Linked DNA regions of Arabidopsis thaliana. The protein of the gene in region 3 interacts with the protein of the main gene of each other region in a pairwise test. Each region holds a gene or a part of one and is shown on either strand. Other genes may lie near its edges.

What was found.
Region 1: the proteins of AT1G54540 (region 3) and AT5G41180 interact in a protein complementation assay, tested with the Arabidopsis thaliana proteins (one large-scale study listed by BioGRID).
Region 2: the proteins of AT1G54540 (region 3) and AT5G24010 interact in a protein complementation assay, tested with the Arabidopsis thaliana proteins (one large-scale study listed by BioGRID).
Region 4: the proteins of AT1G54540 (region 3) and CNGC9 interact in a protein complementation assay, tested with the Arabidopsis thaliana proteins (one large-scale study listed by BioGRID).

What each region holds. Positions count from the first base shown.
Region 1 is NC_003076.8:16,481,950-16,487,967, reverse strand, and holds AT5G41180 (leucine-rich repeat transmembrane protein kinase family protein), read right to left. Parts: upstream 4,209-6,018; 5' UTR 3,924-4,208; coding exon 3,827-3,923; intron 3,660-3,826; coding exon 3,521-3,659; intron 3,430-3,520; coding exon 3,358-3,429; intron 3,322-3,357; exon of another isoform or gene 3,249-3,321; coding exon 3,105-3,248; intron 3,027-3,104; coding exon 2,895-3,026; intron 2,804-2,894; coding exon 2,681-2,803; intron 2,596-2,680; coding exon 2,531-2,595; intron 2,444-2,530; coding exon 2,234-2,443; intron 2,141-2,233; coding exon 1,935-2,140; intron 1,847-1,934; coding exon 1,714-1,846; intron 1,631-1,713; coding exon 1,473-1,630; intron 1,385-1,472; coding exon 1,169-1,384; intron 1,040-1,168; coding exon 740-1,039; 3' UTR 541-739; downstream 1-540. Other genes in the region: AT5G41190 (RNA-binding NOB1-like protein), read left to right, coding at 1-106, 191-340.
Region 2 is NC_003076.8:8,111,930-8,117,160, forward strand, and holds AT5G24010 (Protein kinase superfamily protein), read left to right. Parts: upstream 1-1,824; 5' UTR 1,825-1,980; coding exon 1,981-4,455; 3' UTR 4,456-4,700; downstream 4,701-5,231. Other genes in the region: AT5G24000 (keratin-associated protein (DUF819)), read right to left, coding at 1-16, 199-425, 495-763; MIND (septum site-determining protein (MIND)), read left to right, coding at 4,802-5,231.
Region 3 is NC_003070.9:20,367,053-20,370,442, forward strand, and holds AT1G54540 (Late embryogenesis abundant (LEA) hydroxyproline-rich glycoprotein family), read right to left. Parts: upstream 1,460-3,390; 5' UTR 1,370-1,459; coding exon 650-1,369; 3' UTR 501-649; downstream 1-500. Other genes in the region: AT1G54550 (F-box and associated interaction domains-containing protein), read left to right, coding at 2,637-3,390.
Region 4 is NC_003075.7:14,926,283-14,932,047, forward strand, and holds CNGC9 (cyclic nucleotide gated channel 9), read right to left. Parts: upstream 4,074-5,765; 5' UTR 3,858-4,073; exon of another isoform or gene 3,721-3,857; intron 3,436-3,720; 5' UTR 3,400-3,435; coding exon 3,332-3,399; exon of another isoform or gene 3,184-3,331; coding exon 2,595-3,183; intron 2,494-2,594; coding exon 2,281-2,493; intron 2,191-2,280; coding exon 1,880-2,190; intron 1,796-1,879; coding exon 1,447-1,795; intron 1,364-1,446; coding exon 692-1,363; 3' UTR 552-691; downstream 1-551. Other genes in the region: GGP3 (Class I glutamine amidotransferase-like superfamily protein), read left to right, coding at 1-222, 336-431; AT4G30570 (Glucose-1-phosphate adenylyltransferase family protein), read right to left, coding at 4,424-5,062, 5,140-5,379, 5,473-5,538, 5,619-5,669. UniProt on the Arabidopsis thaliana protein: Putative cyclic nucleotide-gated ion channel.

The DNA.
Region 1 (6,018 bases), on a different chromosome or scaffold from region 3:
GCCTAAAGGAGGAAGAGAGGCAATCACCAAGAATCTGATTCTACGGGAAGATCAACTCCCTCAAAAGCTTCTCCACCCTAGGACCAAGAAGAAAGCAAGCAAACCGGTTAGTCTCTTCGTGTCTTCTATCTCAAACTCAAATCTGTAACTTTGATTGAAATCTTAAGGTAAATTATGCTGTTGTTTGCAGGGTGATGAGTACTTCGTATCAGATGATGTGTTCTTGAACCATCATAGTGATAGAAAGGCGCCATTGCAGCCTCCTGTGAGAAAAGCTATGTCGGTTTTCAGCCAGAAAAGAAACCCTAATGACAACCATTACTCTCGTTCTATGCACTGATCTTTGTTTCTCCTACACAACAAACATCTCCTGTACTTCAGATGCCAACGATTTTGTCTCTTTTTTGTACTTTTACTTTTTCTTTCTGATTGTTGTTTGAAGTCCAAAACTAGTTTGAAAAGGTGAGAGTTTATAACTTTTTATTCGGTTCACAGATGTATTCCTCTAGTTTCAAGCTACCTGTCATTTTTTTCTTTTTTGGCTCAACACAATTTCATTCGTCAAGAACTTGGTATACAAGATTACACCTCCAGTTTATTGGTATTAACAATAGACCGACCGTAACAACCTACCTGATAACTTATCCAAGGCATGGTCGGTGCTATCAAAACCGAATGCAAAATTGAAGCAAAAATGTTCGAACAAGTGTATGTCAATGTCATAACAACAAAGCCAATTTTATTTACTCCTATCATCGTCGTCTTCGTTAGAAGGCGAGGCCAGCGCTAGCTCGGCCCACGCCAGAGAAGACGATTTGAATTCTGCAGAAATGGACACAGTGATTCTACTCTCTAGTGTCTCACAAAGCGCTTGAATCGAACAAGAAAGCTTATCCTTGTCTTTTTCATTCTGGTCCAAGTTCAGACATTGGCTTGCCACTTCACATACTGCCTCAAGTTCTTTTTGCTTGAAATGCTTGAGCTCAGGATCCACCAAGCTAGCCATCACATCTGGTGCACCAAGGTTTTTCTCCCTTACCTGCAATATTTAGGAGTTTGAATCAAATCCTCAGCATCAAACGCATGAAAACACGTAAACCGCTAAGAGAGAGAGAGAGACTTATTATAAGTACTCAGCTTTAAGCTTATAGAGAAAAGCTATTCTTACCCATTCAACCAAGCAACCTCTGTCTTGGCAATAAGAAGGTCTTCCGCTTACAATTTCCAGCAAAAGTATGCCAAATGAGTAGATATTCCCTTGTAAATCCATATCTCGGTGTTCCATTGCATTGGGAAGTACACATATTGCTCCTTCATTACAGATATTCTTCAGGTTCTTCTCTGATCTCACCTGAATAATCTTCCAGCATTCGAAATCAACCAGCTGCATAGAAATAAGAGGATCAAAATAAGAGTATAGAGATAGTAGCAAAGCTTAGCTAACCGCATAGAAAAAAGAGGATCAAATTTACTTTGGGAGTAAAATCTTCAGTGAGATACACTGCAGTTGAGCTCAACTCAGAGACTGTAAATGGAGGATGGAGTTCAGTATGAAGGTACTTGAGACCACGTGCGATGCCTATAACAATTTTCATGCGTTTTGCCCACGATACTAAACTCCCGTCCGCATCTGCATCAAATTTTTATCATCATTTGGTATCATTATCAGTCCTACCAAAGAAAGAGCTCTGAAGAAGTTTGATTATATATTACAGTGGAGATGGTCGTATAGTGTCCCGTTTGATGCATACTCAAACACAAGCATTCTTGTGAACGGTGTACTCTCTTTACAGTATCCCAGTAATTTCCCCGCATTCTCATGGTTTAATCTAGCCAAAGCCGCAACCTGAAACAATGAATATTAATAAAATCAAGTTTAATACTGATGTTTTCTTGCAAGTGACTTGGTGATAAACAACCATAAGAAGAAGAACCTCTCTCTGGAAATTAAGCTCAAGATATCCAGTCCAATTTTCTTCTTTAACGCAGAGAGAGATAACCGCGATCTCAGTCCCGCCTTTGATCGTTCCTTTGTAAATCTGACTCTCTGCACTAGAATCAATGATGTTGCTGAAGTCTTCACATGCTACTTCTAGCTCTTGTCTTGTATATCTTGAAACATCCTTCAGCATTTCAGAATCTGTAGAAAAACAGTTTATCAGTAATTTTTTCATCTCTGGAAGCTCTTTCAGTTATTTGTATTGAAATCTTAGAATTTTTAAGAGTTTCTAACCAACGTAGACCGTGAACTTCTCCTTTTCACTTGCAGATTTCTTCCAGGGAACGATGAGAGAGCGCTTTATTTTGCACAAGCTACATGCAGAGAACATTACGACTAGAAAGAGCAAGCCAACTGATGATCCCGTGACTATCTCAAAATTCCGAAGCCATGTTTGTCTCGATGCTCGATGCTTCTTCTTGGCCACGGTTACAGCTAAGCGAGCTAACCAATTGAAACAATTTCAAAATGAAAAACAAGATAAAGAAACGATTATCAGCATCAAGAAAGTGAAACTCATATTCTACAAACCACATTCTGAAAGAGGTCTCTGCTTAACATCCATGGTTTTCATGCAGTTTCCTTGAAAGCTCGTTCTACAATGATGTTCAATGATACAGAGAGATATTATCAAATGAGAAAAATAAAGGAAAGCTAGAAAAAGGGTCTTATAAGAAATACATTGGGAGGTAATCCAAGCAACTCGGAACTCTTCCCTCGAAAAAGTTGTAAGAGAAATCTGCCACTTTAAATAGAGAAGACTTGCACAAACCACTGATGTTTGCACTTGGATTTGAAGCATACCTGACCAACACAAAAAGAAGATACATTAACATTTCAATCATAAACATTAAGTTTCCATCTTATGCTACCTTGGACTATTAGCTAAACTCACTTTTTTGATGTTTTCGCGGCAATAGGAATACTTCCTCGAAGCCTATTCCTGCCAATAAGAAGTTCTTTAAGGTGCTTCAAGTTTCCAATCTCTGGAGGTAACTTTCCTATTAAACCATTGGACTGAAGGTTTCTGTGGTGTTAAAGAGACACAAAATGGTTATCTCAGCACATTATCGGATAGATGACATTCTCTTAAAGATTTTCTTACATTGTCTTAATCCTTGACAATTTCCCGATCTCTGCTGGAATCGGTCCTGTCAAATGATTGTTTCCCAGGTCTAAGATCTTGAGTTTCTTTAACTTTCCTATCTCCTTTGGTATTGTCCCCATTAGAATGTTCCCACGCAGGATCCTAAAGAAGCATTCAACACAGAAAAAACAAAGTCATCTAAACATTTACAAACAGTACCAATCATCAAACTTATATCTTCAGGTATTGTCAATATGAATCAAAACCATACAGTTCTTGCAAGTAGGTTATTTGACCAAGTTCTGGCACAAGAAACCCTCTCATCGATGTCCCCGATATATTTCTGCAAGTTTCACAGCATGAAACAGATACCAAATCATCATCATACTAAACATAACTGATTTTACTGATAGAAAGAGATCAAAGTTTCCTACATCTTGATAATGTGATCCTTAGATGGAGAACATTTAATGCCATTCCAATCACAAGGACTCAAATTGGGGACATTCCAATTAGACATAACTAGCAATGGGTCCTTATAAATGGCTTCCTTGAATCTTCTAACTGCTTCAACTGAATACAAAACAGCAAAACATCAAATACTTCTAAATGATCAGTAACAAAACTAAAGTTTCTAACTTTCTAGATCAACTCAATGAGCAAGTGTTAACAGACAGAGGCTAAAAAGACTAAACTTTCTCAGCATCCAAAAATTGGAGAAAATGGAGAAATCAAAATACCTTCTTTAGAGGCAAACGCGTCACAGGAAACAAAGAGGAACCCTAGAACAAGACTCATAAGAGAAAGCTGCATCGTTGAAGATAAGTAAAGTCTCATTCTTTTTTCCTCCTTGCTCAAAGATTTCTTCAAATTCTAGCAAAACCCAGAATTTCTCACATTATAGTCATCACAAAAGACCAAATAATCTCCAGCCTCCAGCCTCCAGGAGACAATTAACAACAATGACAAGAGCTTAAAGAGCAAAGCAAGATTTAGCAGAAAAAGGAAAATGCTTTAATTAATAATATTACGGGTATTTAGCAAAAAAACCATTAAAGAAAAAGAAGTTTCTTAGTAAGTAACAGAGATGGTGACAAAAGAGAGAGACTTGGATTCAAAGACAGTTTTTTTTTTGTTGTTGTTCTATTCTAAACGGAGAAGAAGACATTTTGCTTTTCAATTTTGTCTTTTAGAAAAGAAAGATATCACTTTTATTTAAATATGTGTCCCTATAACTTTGACTAAAATTAAGATTATTCCACATTTAATTAGTAATAGATCCCAATTTTATGTAATGAAATTGTTTTATATTTCTTTCCCATCTAATGCATGTTCACACTTCACAGTAATATCTCTAATTGTAAGCCAGAAATAAATAAATTTATTTAACTGTAATGTGTATTTTGTATACAAGGAAAAATGTATCAACATGCATCTATCTGTGAAACATTTATAGTCAATATATAACCTGCTTAAAATGTGAAAGAAGACAAAATATTATTACATTAAATAAAAACAAAATATATACGTTTCCAATAAATTTTAAGTGTTGGATAAAAAAATGTTAGTGTTGTAGCTATGTCGTAATGTAGATTTCAATTTGATTTATGTCTATATTATGAATTATAGACGATATATATAATAATTAAAATATCATTTTAGACCATTAAACTATTTGAAAAATTTCCATATCACATTAACTCAACTGATGAAAGATTTAACGTTTTGTTTGTTTTTTGTCGGCGATTTCAACTTTGTTTAATAAAAGTCTAACTCATCATTCATTATAGAGGAAAAAAACAGATTTTCAAAAGTGGTTATATTCCTCATAGCCTCCTTTTTATTAATTAGAATTTACAATCATTGTTGGCAAACAAATAAAAGAAAGGTTAACACAAATCACAAGAATTATATTTTCTTCTTTATTTTATTTTTAATATTTTAATTATTATTTTTGCACCTTTTCTTAAACTTTATCATTTAGTTTAATAAAGTAAATTAGGATTGTTTGACAAAAAAAAAAGTAAATTAGGATTAGAATATATAAAAAAGGCCCTACTGTAACTACTCTAGATTTCTTTCTTATTTTTAAATATCACTATCTATTAAAAGTATATTTGTTATTTTTAATAACATGTAATATGCGGTTTTAATTATGTTACAACAATAACATTAACACAAATGAATAGACTATTTGTTACCAATTTATCACCAAATATTTGTAACTCTTTACTGTTTTAAATCTATGTAATGATTATGAAAATCATTTAGTTTAATAGTTGATCAAATGTTTATTTTCTTACAGTCAGTCTGGGATTCGATTTTGTTTCTAAATGAATTATTACAATATGTCTAAATGTTGTATCCAATTATATTTATTCCTGGTGATTCATAACATCGCTTATATATCAACAAAATTAAAGTATTCATATATTTTTAAAAAAATTGTGTGCAACACATACAGAAAAAATGTATATTTCGTAACATATAATTAAAAAATTCATGTAAATTATATGACTGCAAATCAATTTCCTAACAGAGAATTACAAATTCATATTTTGGATAAAAGACAAATATTAAAATAAAAGATATTTGGGACTACAATTTGCAAAAGTTCCATGTTTCTATCTCTCTTTCTTGAGCTACTATGGATAGTCTAGTTAAAACCTTTAAAAAAATAGTAAAAGAGTTTATGTTTAAGAACCCTTGTCGACCTTGGCGGCTGAAGCAACAACTTGACCTTTGACTTTGAGACGACCAGTCCTCCTAGCAGCGATAAGACCAACCTTCTATCCATGAGGTGCATCACGTCTAAGTGTACTGGCGTGATCAATGCTGATTGATTAAATCCTCTATGAGGATGCTCCATTGGATTCATCATATTCACGTCACAAACCCTTAAGATATAGGTTTCTTTTCACCGGTGTTTGTG
Region 2 (5,231 bases), on a different chromosome or scaffold from region 3:
CCAACAATCGTCGCAACTACAACAAACCAACTCACAAATTAATAAACCACTCAACACATCATCAATAACAATGTCACTTCACAATCAATCTTTTTAACTAAAACCACTCAAAGACATAAACTTTTGTTAGTCTTAAGCATGAATCCAAACTAATCCCAATCCAAAAACTTGCCTTTAAGCAAAAGACTAAATCTTTACCAGATCCAATTAAGAATGCAAGAAGCAATGATCCAGTAGATCGGATAATACGACGGAGATCAGCTCTAAACAACAACAATGGAATCGTATGCGGCAAGAGAAACTCCATGAAGAAGCCATACGACGGCGTTTCAAACGGAATTAACCTTAAATTGCTAGCGGCGAGCCCAAGTAACGTACTTGTCAACGCACCACTCACCATACTTCCAATTTTCGTCTTCTCCGACCTAATGAAGTCGGTAATTTCATCAGTATACAAAACCCTAGTTTCAACAGAGAGGATTGAGGTGATTTACCAGACACCGAAAGCTCCGGCGGCGAAGAGAGCAGCCCATTGTGACCAGTGATCGTCTGGGGAGATTAGAGGGAATCGTAGTTGTGAGTAGACCTTCACGCGCCGGCGTCGAGATGAAACAAGACGATGTGGAGTGAGTGTTACCGGCGGCGATTTGTTACGGCGTATGGTTATTGATGATGATAAGTGGTGGCGGGAAGGAGACACGTGGAGCGATGAGATTGTGGGGGACAGTGGATTTGGTGATACCACTGTGAATAGAAGAGCCATTGCACTTTTTAGATACACCAATTAATGTTTGAAGTCCCATATTATACTTTTGGAAACTTATTTTTTTTGTTTCCTTATTCGGCTAAACAAATTTATTGAGATATCAAATTGACGAGAAGCATATTAATATACCACATAATGAATATGATAAAAGTTTAAAATAAAATTTAACAATATTTTTTTTCTAAAACTTTACTCTATTTTCTATTTTTGTAATCTATTTCTTGATACGAAAAAAATAACAAATAAGAAATAAATAAAATCGATAAAGAAAGTAACATAACATAGGAAGACGAAATATATAAGAAGAAAATATAATGAATAGTATGAAAAAAGAAAAATAGTAAAAAAAAATTATGATTAGCTTCGTTTGGTGGAATTCTCTTCTTTTTAGTGTTTTCATGTATTTTATTGTCTTCTTGTTTATCAAGAAAAAGAAGTTAATCTAGACTTTGATAAAATGATGGATCATGGATGCCCATAAAAAGAGTACTTCTAATTTTTTTTCTATAACTTTTTTAAAAAGGATGCATTCACTATAACAAGGTTTGTTGTATGAATAAAATTTTACATACACTCAGAAAAAAGAAGAAAAAAAGAAGAAGAAGAGTACTTCTAATTTGGTGACAGATGCTTCCTTATATTTCCTTCTAATTATTAAATTAGTATCGTTTAGGTCTATTGGAATTAATGAGTGAAATATTAAACCTTGCCTACAATACACTAATTAATTTATTTTTTGTAATAATGTGTCGGTCCAAACCTTGTTAGTTACGCAATTAATACCATAATAATCACACCACCTACGATGAGTTAATCCGTAACACCACAAATTATATCTCAAAACTGTTTCTATCTAATTCAAAAATGAATCAAACATCCCTACTCATAGCGTACACAAATGATTAACTAAGAATTACCAAATCAGTGAAAATCAACTATATTTAATAGAAAGCAAAACTTTTTGAAAATGATTGCCACCGAATCACAAACAAAATCAGGTTTAAGCTTCCTTTGGTTTCCCATTGCTGTTGACAAACTTCGCTGCCTAATGATTTCACAAACACTTTCTCTTTCACTTACCTTTAGTGGGAAAAAAATACGAATACAGAGAAGTGACAGCAAAAACCCACTTTCTAGTTTCTCCATCTCTTCTTCTCTTTAATATCATCAAACCAAAACCTTTCTCAAACCTTCCCCAAAAAAGCTTCACTCTAATGGCGTTTCCAATAAATCTAACCCAAACCCTTCTCTTCTTCTTCTGCCCTCTTCTTCATCTCTCTTTCGCTGCTTTCACTCCAACTGATAATTATCTCATCAATTCCGGTTCTAACACCAATACATCTTTCTTCACAACCCGTTCTTTTCTCAGCGACTCTTCAGAACCTGGCTCGAGTTTTCTCTCCACCGATCGATCCATCTCGATTTCTGACACGAACCCATCTCCAGATTCACCCGTTTTGTACAACACAGCTCGTGTTTTCCCCGTCGGAGGATCATACAAATTCCAAGTCACTACCAAAGGCACTCACTTTATCCGTCTCCATTTCGCGCCTTTTAAAGCTTCGAGATTTAACTTAAGGTCTGCTAAATTTCGAGTTTTGATTAATGGGTTCTCTGTGATTAACAGTTTCAGTACTAGCTCCGTCGTTGTTAAAGAATTCATACTCAAAATCGATGACCCTGTTTTAGAGATTTCGTTTTTGCCCTTTAAAGCTTCTGGATTTGGGTTTGTTAATGCGGTTGAAGTGTTTTCAGCACCTAAGGATTATATAATGGATCAAGGAACGAAGCTTGTGATTCCTAACTCTGCTCAAATCTTTAGTAACTTGTCATCTCAAGTTCTTGAGACTGTTCATAGAATCAACGTTGGTGGTTCGAAATTGACGCCGTTTAATGATACGTTGTGGAGGACTTGGGTTGTTGATGACAACTATCTTCTCTTGAGAGCTGCTGCTAGACGTGCTTGGACTACTCATTCTCCGAATTATCAAAACGGTGGTGCCACGAGAGAGATTGCTCCGGATAATGTTTATATGACTGCTCAGGAGATGGATCGAGATAATCAGGAGTTGCAGGCAAGGTTTAACATTAGTTGGGGGTTTCAGGTTGATGAGAAACGAGTTCTTCATTTGGTTCGTTTGCATTTCTGCGATATCGTTAGTTCGTCGCTTAATCAGCTCTATTTCAATGTCTTTATCAATGAGTATCTTGCGTTTAAGGATGTTGATCTCTCCACGCTTACTTTCCATGTGCTTGCGTCTCCGTTGTACATTGATTTTGTTGCGGAGTCTGATCGTTCTGGAATGTTGAGGATTAGTGTTGGACCGTCTGATCTTAGTAATCCGGCGAGAGTTAATGCTCTATTGAATGGAGTTGAGATCATGAGGATTTTGAGCCCTGTGAGTTCTGAAGTGGTATCTGGAAAGAGGAATGTTGTCTGGATCGTGGTTGGCTCGGTTTTGGGAGGTTTTGTGTTCTTGTCGCTGTTCTTCTTGAGCGTTTTGTGCTTGTGCAGGCGCAAGAACAACAAGACGAGGAGTTCAGAGAGCACGGGATGGACACCTTTGAGGAGGTTTAGAGGCAGTTCCAATAGTAGAACAACTGAAAGAACTGTTAGTTCTAGTGGCTACCATACTCTGAGAATCTCGTTCGCGGAGTTACAATCCGGAACCAATAACTTTGATAGAAGTTTAGTTATCGGAGTTGGCGGATTCGGGATGGTTTTTAGAGGGTCTCTTAAAGACAACACCAAAGTAGCTGTGAAGAGAGGCTCTCCTGGTTCAAGACAGGGCTTACCAGAGTTTCTCTCTGAGATAACCATTCTCTCTAAGATCCGTCATCGCCATCTAGTTTCACTTGTTGGGTATTGCGAAGAACAGTCTGAGATGATTCTTGTTTATGAGTACATGGATAAAGGACCACTCAAAAGTCACTTATACGGATCCACCAACCCGCCTTTATCTTGGAAACAACGGCTTGAGGTCTGCATTGGTGCAGCCAGAGGACTTCATTACCTTCACACCGGTTCTTCGCAAGGAATCATCCACCGGGATATCAAATCCACCAATATCTTACTAGATAACAACTATGTAGCCAAAGTTGCAGACTTTGGACTCTCAAGATCCGGTCCTTGTATTGATGAGACACATGTGAGCACCGGTGTAAAAGGAAGCTTTGGATATCTTGATCCTGAATACTTCAGAAGACAACAGCTCACGGATAAGTCCGATGTTTATTCATTTGGTGTTGTTCTTTTTGAAGTTCTTTGCGCTAGACCCGCTGTTGATCCGTTGCTTGTTAGGGAGCAAGTAAATTTAGCAGAATGGGCAATAGAGTGGCAAAGGAAAGGGATGCTTGATCAGATCGTTGATCCGAATATCGCAGATGAAATCAAACCGTGCTCGTTGAAGAAATTCGCTGAAACCGCAGAGAAATGCTGTGCGGATTACGGTGTAGATAGACCGACAATTGGCGATGTTCTATGGAACTTAGAACATGTGCTTCAGCTTCAAGAATCCGGACCATTGAACATTCCTGAAGAAGATTATGGAGATGTTACCGACCCGAGAACGGCTCGGCAAGGTCTGTCTAATGGCTCGAACATAGAGAGAGACTATGGAGATGGAACTTCAGGCATAATCAGTAGCACCCAAGTGTTCTCTCAGCTAATGACCAACGCTGGGAGATAAATTAAAGTCATTGCTATATAGAGCAAGTATTTATCATAGTCATAGAGTACAATACCTAAACCGGGAAACCAAAGCGGTGTACCGGTATCTCAGATTCGGTTCGTGTTTGGTATAATTTTGTTTGGTTTCTGTAACTTGTAGAGCTATGATTGTTCATTTGATATGGATGAATCATAAACCGTTAAAACCAGTACATTATTTGGTTAAATATTAAACCGGTTAAGAGTGGAGAAATTAAAAACCGGAATCTCAAAAGTTCTTGATAAACCGTAAACCCTGTGAAGCCACAACGCTCAGAAACATTTCTGTCTCTGTGGAGACAGCTGAAGAAGCAGCAGCACTATCAATGGCGTCTCTGAGATTGTTCTCAACGAATCATCAATCTCTTCTCCTTCCATCATCTCTCTCACAAAAGACTCTAATATCTTCACCAAGATTCGTCAATAACCCTAGCAGACGGAGTCCAATACGATCCGTTCTTCAATTTAATCGCAAACCGGAACTCGCCGGAGAAACGCCGCGTATCGTCGTTATCACCTCCGGAAAAGGCGGTGTTGGAAAGACGACAACCACCGCAAATGTCGGTCTCTCTCTCGCTCGTTACGGTTTCTCAGTTGTCGCCATTGACGCCGACCTTGGTCTCCGTAACCTCGATCTCCTCCTAGGGTTAGAGAATCGAGTCAATTACACTTGCGTCGAGGTTATAAACGGAGATTGTCGTCTCGATCAAGCTCTGGTACGTGATAAGCGTTGGTCGAATTTCGAATTGCTATGTA
Region 3 (3,390 bases):
TAAACTCGAGATCGTTTGAATTTTCTCGAAATTTTATATTTCAATTCTATTGTAATTTTCGAAAGTTTTACCATTGAAAAAATAGTATAGATGTGATTCACACTACCAAACCATTCATGCTGAAGTTGATTCCATGCTATGGGCAATAGAATTTATAATCTCGATAGGTGTTACGAGTTGCTCTTTTGCTTTCGACCGTGAAGATCTTATCTCTATTGAAAAACTTTCAGTGTAGCCAACATTTGTAGTTGAGATGACGACATTTGGTTCCCTTGTATGTTTTTTTCCCTCTTCTAGTATTAATTTTCTTTCTCGTCGTTTTAATGTGCGGATCGATTGCCTTGGAAAAAGACATGAGATCGCAATAGGTTTTTTTCCCATGTAAGCACGTCGGTTCCTGAATGACTCTCTCTCTCTCTAGAAGAGAGTCTCGTTCCGACTACTTCATAGAAATTATGTTAAGCGGAAAAGAACCATTCATTTGCAATATTTTGAAATTTCAAAAATCTCTCGTAATTTAAAAAATAAAAATCAATCTTTTATTGAGAATAAAACCATTAATCCAAAATATGAATCAAATGCATAAGAAAATGATGAATTGAGTAATTAACACCAATAAAAAGTAAAAGCGCCTAGATCTAAGAACATCTCAGAGTTTGGCCTTAAAACTGCAATCACTAGCTTTGATGTTGATATTATTGTTCGTTGATAAACTATCAACAACAAGCTTACAACTCCCCAATATCCGAATCTTCTTCATCTTCAGATTTCCGAGTTTGATGGCGACAGGTGCATTCACTTTAAGATCTAACGGTACACGTCCTGTTTGTTGTTGCTGCTGCAATGCCGCCAAGACAGTGTTCCCATATTGCGCTCTTCCCGTTAGAGCCACATTTAGTTTAGTTACATTGCGATGTCCTTGATAAAACCTCGGTATAGGGCCTTCACATAGCTTTGTCTTGTCGTACCACACACCGATATGACCTCCTTTCTCGTAATAAATCCCAATCTTTTCGTTGGGATTACGAGCTGTGATCTCGACTTTAAACTCCGCGGAAAGAGAGAGGTCTAGATTGATTCCAAGGTTGGTAACTCGTAAACTGTTGACTTCGTAACTCGGGAGTTTAGGGTGGAAAACAAAGTATACAACCGCAACCGCAATTGCTAACGCGATCAATGCAATGACTAGAAGGCTTAACACCCAACAAAAGATTTTGCAGCACATATTTCGATTCTTACTAGGAATAACAGGAGGCGGAATCGGCCGTTGAACCGGAAGCAAGACTGTCTTTCCGGGAGCTGGTGTTGTTGTCTTCGTCTTGTTGGCTTCCATTTGAAGAACCGGGTGAATTTTTTGTTGATCTCCCATGGATCTACAACTTTGTATTTAGTAATACTAATGCACCAACATGTATTATATGTACTTTATTTTATATCAAAGTTTTGTCTTGTGAAGTTGTTTCCATGCATGACTTTTACCAACATCTTACCTTCCTCACCTATAACGTTGAATTAATCAGAATATATTAGAAAGACTAGAGGTTGTTCAACAGTTACAGTAATCTTTTTGTATTTAATTCGATAATAAAACAAAAACAATAAATCATTCGGTATATTGGTTTAGTTAGGATGACGACTTTGGCAACATTCCAATGTTTTCAACACATATCTTCTTTTTGTTCATCTCTATGTTCAGCAACAACCCGTATAATCAAATTCTTGAGGAAGAATTTGAAAACTACAATTTTTATGATACATTTCATAACTATCACTAATTTTTTTTTTCAAAAACACCACAAAAGGATTTATAATTTCTTTAAATACATTTTATAGAAAATATTTATAAAGTTATATAAGGTTTTATAAATTGATTCTTGAATGATTTTTTTGTAAGCAATCTCAAAAGAAGAAAGATTCAAACTTATTAAGATAGAAACTAAGAACTTAGATAGATTATTAAAACTTTATGATGCAAGGGTACTGATAGAGAAAATATTACTTCGTTGTCACCAAGAACACTATGATTCGAAATTGATACTCTTATTAAGATGAAGGAAGAGAGTTGTTTTGAGAGGACAACTCTCAAACAAAGTTACCTTCCATGGATGTTCTAACCATAAATTTATATGCTTTTGCTAGCTAAAACTCTAGTTCCATGGGCTAATAGACTTCTCAAAACACTCTATCTTAGGATTCTTTTGCATCCTTTTAAAAAAAAAGTCTTTAGTAGTTTATTTTGAGAAATGGAATCGTAAAAGTGATAGATGTCAAAGTTTCCCAATTAATATATAGTCATCACTCATCTACTCTGGAAATTTATGTTAGTCACATATCATCTGATCTATAAAGAGATTACTAAATATGTGGTGGTGCACTCTACGAACTAAATCAAGAGCTTCGTAGTTTTTAAGTAAAACTGAAAATCAGTTGCTAAACGATTTCGTAATTTTACCATATGATATAGTTAAGGATTCGATGGTTTATTTTTTTCCAAATAATAGGCCCATTTAAAAAATCTGTGCCAAAGCAAAACTTTATTACAAGCCCAACCAAAACACATATACAAACATATTAGGGTACCGAATAGGTCAATGAGACATTAAACTTGTGGAGAAAGCTGAAAACTTGGAGGAAGAATGGCGACAGTAACCGATCTACCGGATGATTTGGTAAGAGAAATATTTTCTAGGGTTCCATTGACATCTCTAAGAGCAGTGAGATCTACTTGTAAAAAGTGGAACGCTATATCGAAATATGACATCTTAGGTAAAAAAGCAGCAGCAAAGAATCAGTTCTTGGAGTTCATGGTTACAGATTCTAGGGTTTGTTCTTTGAGATTAGATCTTCAAGGAATCCGTAGCGAAGAAGATTTGATTGATCTATCTATAAAGCAAATAAGTATACCTAATAAAGTTGATCAAGTCGAGATATCTCAAGTCTATCACTGTGATGGCTTATTGTTATGCATCGCCAAAGACAACTCGAGTGTTATGGTATGGAATCCGTATTTAGGGCAGACGAAATTGATTCAACCAAGAAAAAAACTCCACAGATATGACAAGTTTGCTCTTGGATACGACAACAACCGTAACCACAAAATTTTGAGGTTTCTTTATGAGGGGAGTCCAAGAAACGTCATTATTGATGTTTACGATTTTAGCTCTGATTCATGGAGGGTTCTTGATATTGATATAGATTGGCATGAACTGTTTAGTCACAATAGCGTGTCTTTGAAGGGAAATACTTACTTTTTTGGTCGAAAGGGACCACGTTTGCCTATGCTGTTTAAACCTCCATCTCGTCGTTTTGAATATTTGACTCTATCTTGTGTTAGAAATGAGAAACTCGCTGTGTTATACAGCCACCTCAACAGATTTGGCACAATAGAGA
Region 4 (5,765 bases), on a different chromosome or scaffold from region 3:
GGAGACGTTGAGGTCCCAGCATCTTTAGCTATTATAAAATGTCATCAGGATGAAGTGTTGGAACTTCCTGAGTCTGCTACACTACTTGCTTCTTCTGAGGTATGTAACGTCGAGATGTTCTCTATTGGAGATCATTTTTTCTGTATTCAAGGGCATCCAGAGTATAACAAAGAGATTCTGTTTGAGATTGTGGACCGAGTCCTTAATATGAAGCTGATGGAGGTTTGTTCTCCTTCTCTATGATCTCTATTTTTGCTAGATAAACATTTCGGAGTGTTCTTGTTCTCAATGTAGTTAGCCTTATCAAGAATTGCAATGTGATTGATTTTTTTCAGCAAGAGTTTGCGGATAAGGCAAAGAGTACGATGGAGACTGCGCAACCAGACAGGATTCTATGGCAGAAGCTCTGCAAAAACTTCCTGAAAGGTTGATGATCCGAGACTATGTTATCTCTGTATGAACTTATCAAAAACTATGTCATCTCTCAATAAACCTGCAGTATCTTTCATATTTTATCTTCAGGAAACAGAAAGAAACACATATAAAACAAATCACAATCACAAATAATCTTTTATGTTACCACCTTTTTCTTTATCTTAATGTAGCAACACAAATCAAACAATAAAATTCAATCCGAGTTATACAAGTTATAAGCGTTCATAGACATTAGCACTTTTCTGGTAAAATTTGGTCAACTAGTATCATCAGCAGAGAAATCAGGTTCTGAAGGCTTCTGATATTTCACAAGTTCTATAGTAGACTTTGCTTCAATACGGTTCTTGTGAACTTTACGAAGTGCATTTGCAGCAAACTTTGAAGCCAGGAACGTCGCTCTGATGCTAGTAACTGATCCTTCTCCTTCTTCTTCTTCTTTCCTGAGTTGCTCAAGTTTCTTCTTCTTCACGTATCGTCGCCACGCGGCTTGTATGAAGATAGCAGCCCAAGTTCTCCATTGTTGCGAGTAGAATCTGAATGTGTGTTGAACTTGCCTGCTGTGTAGTCTTCTGAACTGGCTAGCCACAAATTTGAGCTCATCTGCTATCAAAGCAAAAGCCTCTACTTCAGTTAGAGCCTTTGCGGTTCTGGTAGAGGATGGTAGGTTGGAACCAGATTTGGGATCAAGTGCCCATGTCAAAAGCTCTTCCCCACAGAAATCTCCTTCTTTAAGCAAACTGCGGTTGAAGAAACCGCTTCTTCCGCCATCGGTGGTCACACTCTCAAGCCGACCACGGATAATGAAGAGCATCTCGTTAACCGGGTCGCCTTCCCGAACCAAATAAGAGCTCTCTGTGTACAGACACGGCTTCAACCGCTCACAGATTGCATCGAGCAGCCTCTCATCCATATTCTCAAACAATGGAACCTTTCCATAAGAAAAATAGAACAAGATGGTTTCATTTATGAATCAAGATTAGAAAAAGGCTTTTAAAGTAAGATTCAACTTACCCTCCGAACCAAAGCCAGACAGAGATGGCGTTTGATATCTCTTCTCAGATCCTTTGGGAGGTTCTGAACCAAATTCTCTTCATCAACTCCGCGTGTCTCCAACCATTTGTACTGGTCATATCGTCTGACTCGTTCTCGCAGTTCCGGTGGAAGCATTCGATGATGCATCCACTGTTCTGAATCACGTCTTTTCACTCTCATTTCTTCAAGCCGGATTGTAAGGGATTGAAGATAAGTCTGCATGTTTCCAATAAGAAGAGCAAAGAGAAGAAGTCCAGCAATGGCAAGTGCTATGGAGAATATAACTTCTCCAGGGTATGTGCTGGTTTCAAGCCCTTGACCAAGAGTGCTGCATTTGACATCGACAAAGTTACTAATGCAACAGAGACTTTTCATAATGACTATAGAAGACGGATTCTTTAGAATTACGTACCTGAGATTCTGAAGTCCCCACCATAAACAGAAGAAGTACTTAGAGACAAAGCTCTTAGATGAGACAATGCCAGAGGACAAGGCTCTTAAGTAGATCCCAAAATCAAAAGGAGGATTATCGGTTGTATTAACTGGGCAATTTAATTGCAGAACAGAATCTTTGATGGTAGTCCAAGCTGCATAACCATCCATTTTTTCATTACCACAAAACAGGAAGTTTCTGTGACAGTCCAAGCTGCTATTACTGCAAACCTTGGTCCAGCATCCATTATAACGTTCCAAGGCCAATAAGTACCATATAGCCCCAACAATCTGATAAAAACATAAGGGAAAAAAGAGAGAGTGATGAATGGATCTTTTGAGAATATAAGAGGAAAGCTACCAAAGATAGTATGTACTGACATGGCTTGCGAGCATGTAGAGTAGCAAGTAATAAGCTGCACCAGCCCAAGCAGTTTCAGCAAAAACACCAGCTGTTCTCTTTAACTCTGAGCTCAAAGGATACAACCGAATGAATCTTGGAATATATTGAACTAAAATGATAGATCGCAATGCCCGCTTTGTTGCTAGCACACTTGCACCTTTAGAGATGTAAAGAAATCTCCAAACTACAATCTGAAAAATCCAAAGAATAACATAAACTAGTCATAAAAATTTAGAGAACAAAGAAACAATGGAAGATAAGAGAACACTGGGAGAGGCATTTCTGTTATTACCTGTGGAAGTGGAAGCACAGAGAGAAAGTCAATGATGAAATACTGCTGCAAATAACGTTTTGCTATCTGTGCAGGGTCAATCACAAGTTCGCCTCGACCAAAAACCCGAGAAGAAGGGGCGACAAAAGCTGTTCTAAACCGAAGAGCCATGTGAAAAAGATAAAACGCATCAATTACTGTCCGCAGCGTTGTTGCTATAATAGCCAACTTCCGGTCTATACCGATACATTTCTCATTATCCTTAACAAACGGAAGATACAAGAAGAGCGGATCCACAGACACAGCGAGAATGCAAGAAGTAACAAACAGTTTGTTACAGAGCAAAAGAAACTTGTCCTGTGGATCAAAAATCTTCTTCTCTGATACTTTAAGATCTTCAGGAAAAACTGCTCGTGAAACCCCTAAACCAATTGATCTTCCTATAGACCAAAGACCTTTAGAACCTTTTCTAAACCCTTTCTTAAAGGAACCAGAAGATACATTGTTTCCCTGAGCACCACCACCACGTGTTGGTCCTTGTAAATTGAGAGTGCATCTGTTTAGACCAGTATCAGAAGTCTGCGAGTACCTAGAATCCATACTATCCAACCTGTGAAGAACAAAATAAACTAAAGATATCCATTTAGTTTCAAACCTGAAGTAAAGGAATGTCCTTTTTGGCTAAACAATATCTGAATCTGCTAGAATGATATCATCATGTTAAATTTCGATCAACTATATACAATAATGAGAGTTACCTTACAAACTTCTCGAGACGGCCACTGATTACTTGTGATTTGACTGCTTTTTTGCCACAGTCTAACATGCTTTTTCCTTGTGACTCAACTCATGAATCCCAAACCTGTTTTTACACACATAAGAAAATGTAATAAACATTTATGATCAAAATCATTTCAAGCAGCAAAATCCTAAACTTGCAATAAATATAAAAATAATTCAAGCACAAAAAATGTTATTGTTTGTTTACAGAATCTCTCTAAAAATCAAACTTGGTTAATGGGTTAAGAACATCCATCCATTTTCGTTGACCTGAGAACTCAAATTGACGGAAAAAACTTGAAAGGAACCACATTTTCTCCCCAAACCAAAACATCAACAAAAGGGTACAAACGAAAAAACTAAATACTTGAGTTTTCAGCATGAAAACGAGACGATCTTAAACGAGAAAGGTGTCAACCAAAATCAAGCAATGGGAAGTACAAAATGAAGATCATTCCAAACAGTAATTGGCTAAGAAATTAGGAGGGAATGCAAGAGATATACCAGAGAAGAAGACGAAGGAGAATTACGGTAGAAAGAAGTTACACGCCAAATCAGACGGAGACGAGAGAAGGGTGAAGAAGAAAGTGACAATGGAGTGGGAGGAGACGAAGTCGTTTCACAGATGAAAAAATATTGATTTTGAGAGAAATATCACAAAGACAGAAGAGAAGAAGAAGAAACTGAAAGTGTCTCCGTGCCGTCCGGGTCGGGTCCACTCTCTCTCTCTCTGCCGTCACGTCTTTCATTTTTCTCAACGTTAATTACATACACCAAACTATAGTCTATTAATAAATCACAGTTTCGTGTTTAAGAAACATAGGCTTTATCTACAATAATTTATATGTCCCTTATAAGAATGTCTCAAAACATTTACGAAAGAAATATACACAACTTGCTTAGGGATGGATCTGAAAAACGTTTTTCTCTATTGGTGTCGAATACCATTTTTAACCGGTTTATGATATGGTTTACCATAGAGTTTGTATCTGTTTTAAATTGTAAGAATATTGCGGTTCATAAGACTCTGGAAACAGTGGAACTAACTAATCTAGGTCTAGGCTCTGGTTTCACAGACCTTGCTCTTCGATAACAACCCCACTGTTGTAAACCTCTGCATCGGCGACGTTAACATCTTTGCCAAGAACCGTTATATTAAAAACTCGAGCCCACCTTCCAACGGTTGAATCCCATCCCACGATACTATTAGAGATACACGCATGTTCCTTGATCCACACACCGCGCATTACAGTACAACCAAACAATCTTACACCTGAATCAATCACACATCCCGGACCAATCACCACATCAGGTCCTATCAAGCAACCTTCTCCTATAACCGCACTTTCGTGCACGAGAACATTCCCGATTATGTTATCCCCTGTGGCCAGTTCTTGCGGAGTTTTCTCTCTTAGAGAGTTAAGGTACATTCTTTGCCCGGTTATGTAATCTTTCGGTTGACCAATGTCCATCCAAAAACCAGGTAGTACCATCGCGTAAAGCTTCTTCTCTGAAGCTATCTTAGGGAATATCTCTTTCTCTATCGAAGTCCTTCTCAGCTCAATCCTGTCAAGAACAGATGGGCTCAAGAGGTATATCCCAGCGTTGATCTTGTTCCCCACAAAATGTTTCGGTTTCTCGACAAAACTTTCAACTCTCGCTGTACCTTCCTCTGTAACCACCACACCATACTTAGAAGGATCATCAACCTGTTAATATCAGAAAATGCTATTAACAGATGAAAGATAAACTTCACAAAATGCAGAAAATGCTCCTGTTTGACTACCTCGGTCACCATGATTGATGCTTCAGCACGGTTAGTCTTGTGAAACTCGATCATCTCAAGCAATGGGTATTCACAGATAACATCGCTGTTTAGTACAAAAAAGGGTTGGCCTGATTCATCGACCAGCTTATCCCGAGCCAGCGCGAGAGGCCCTGCTGTTCCAAGCGGTTCAGTTTCTTGGGAAAATGTAATCTTAATCTCTAGCTTCTTCTCATATTCTTTCACAAAGTTCAACATGACCTGAGTAATACCAAACACACAAGGAGAAGGAGGATGACACGGAAGAATTTCAATTGTTATCGTATCGTTATTAAGGACAATGAATGTATGTACCTCTGGTTGTTGGTGATTGATAGCTAATACAACTTCAGTCACTCCAGCACCTTTTAGAGCTTCAATCTGCGAATGCATCATAATGAGAACAAAAGAAACTGTGAAAACTTGAGCAAATACAAAAGAAGAAGAAGAAGCTAACCTACCTGATGCAAAATCATGGGTTTGTTTCCAAAATCAACAAGTGGTTTAGGCATGCTCAAGGTAAGTGGCCTCAATCTGGTTCCGAATCCTCCAACTAGAATAAGAGCCTTCAATTCTGCATAAATATAACCAGATGATCTACTGTCATC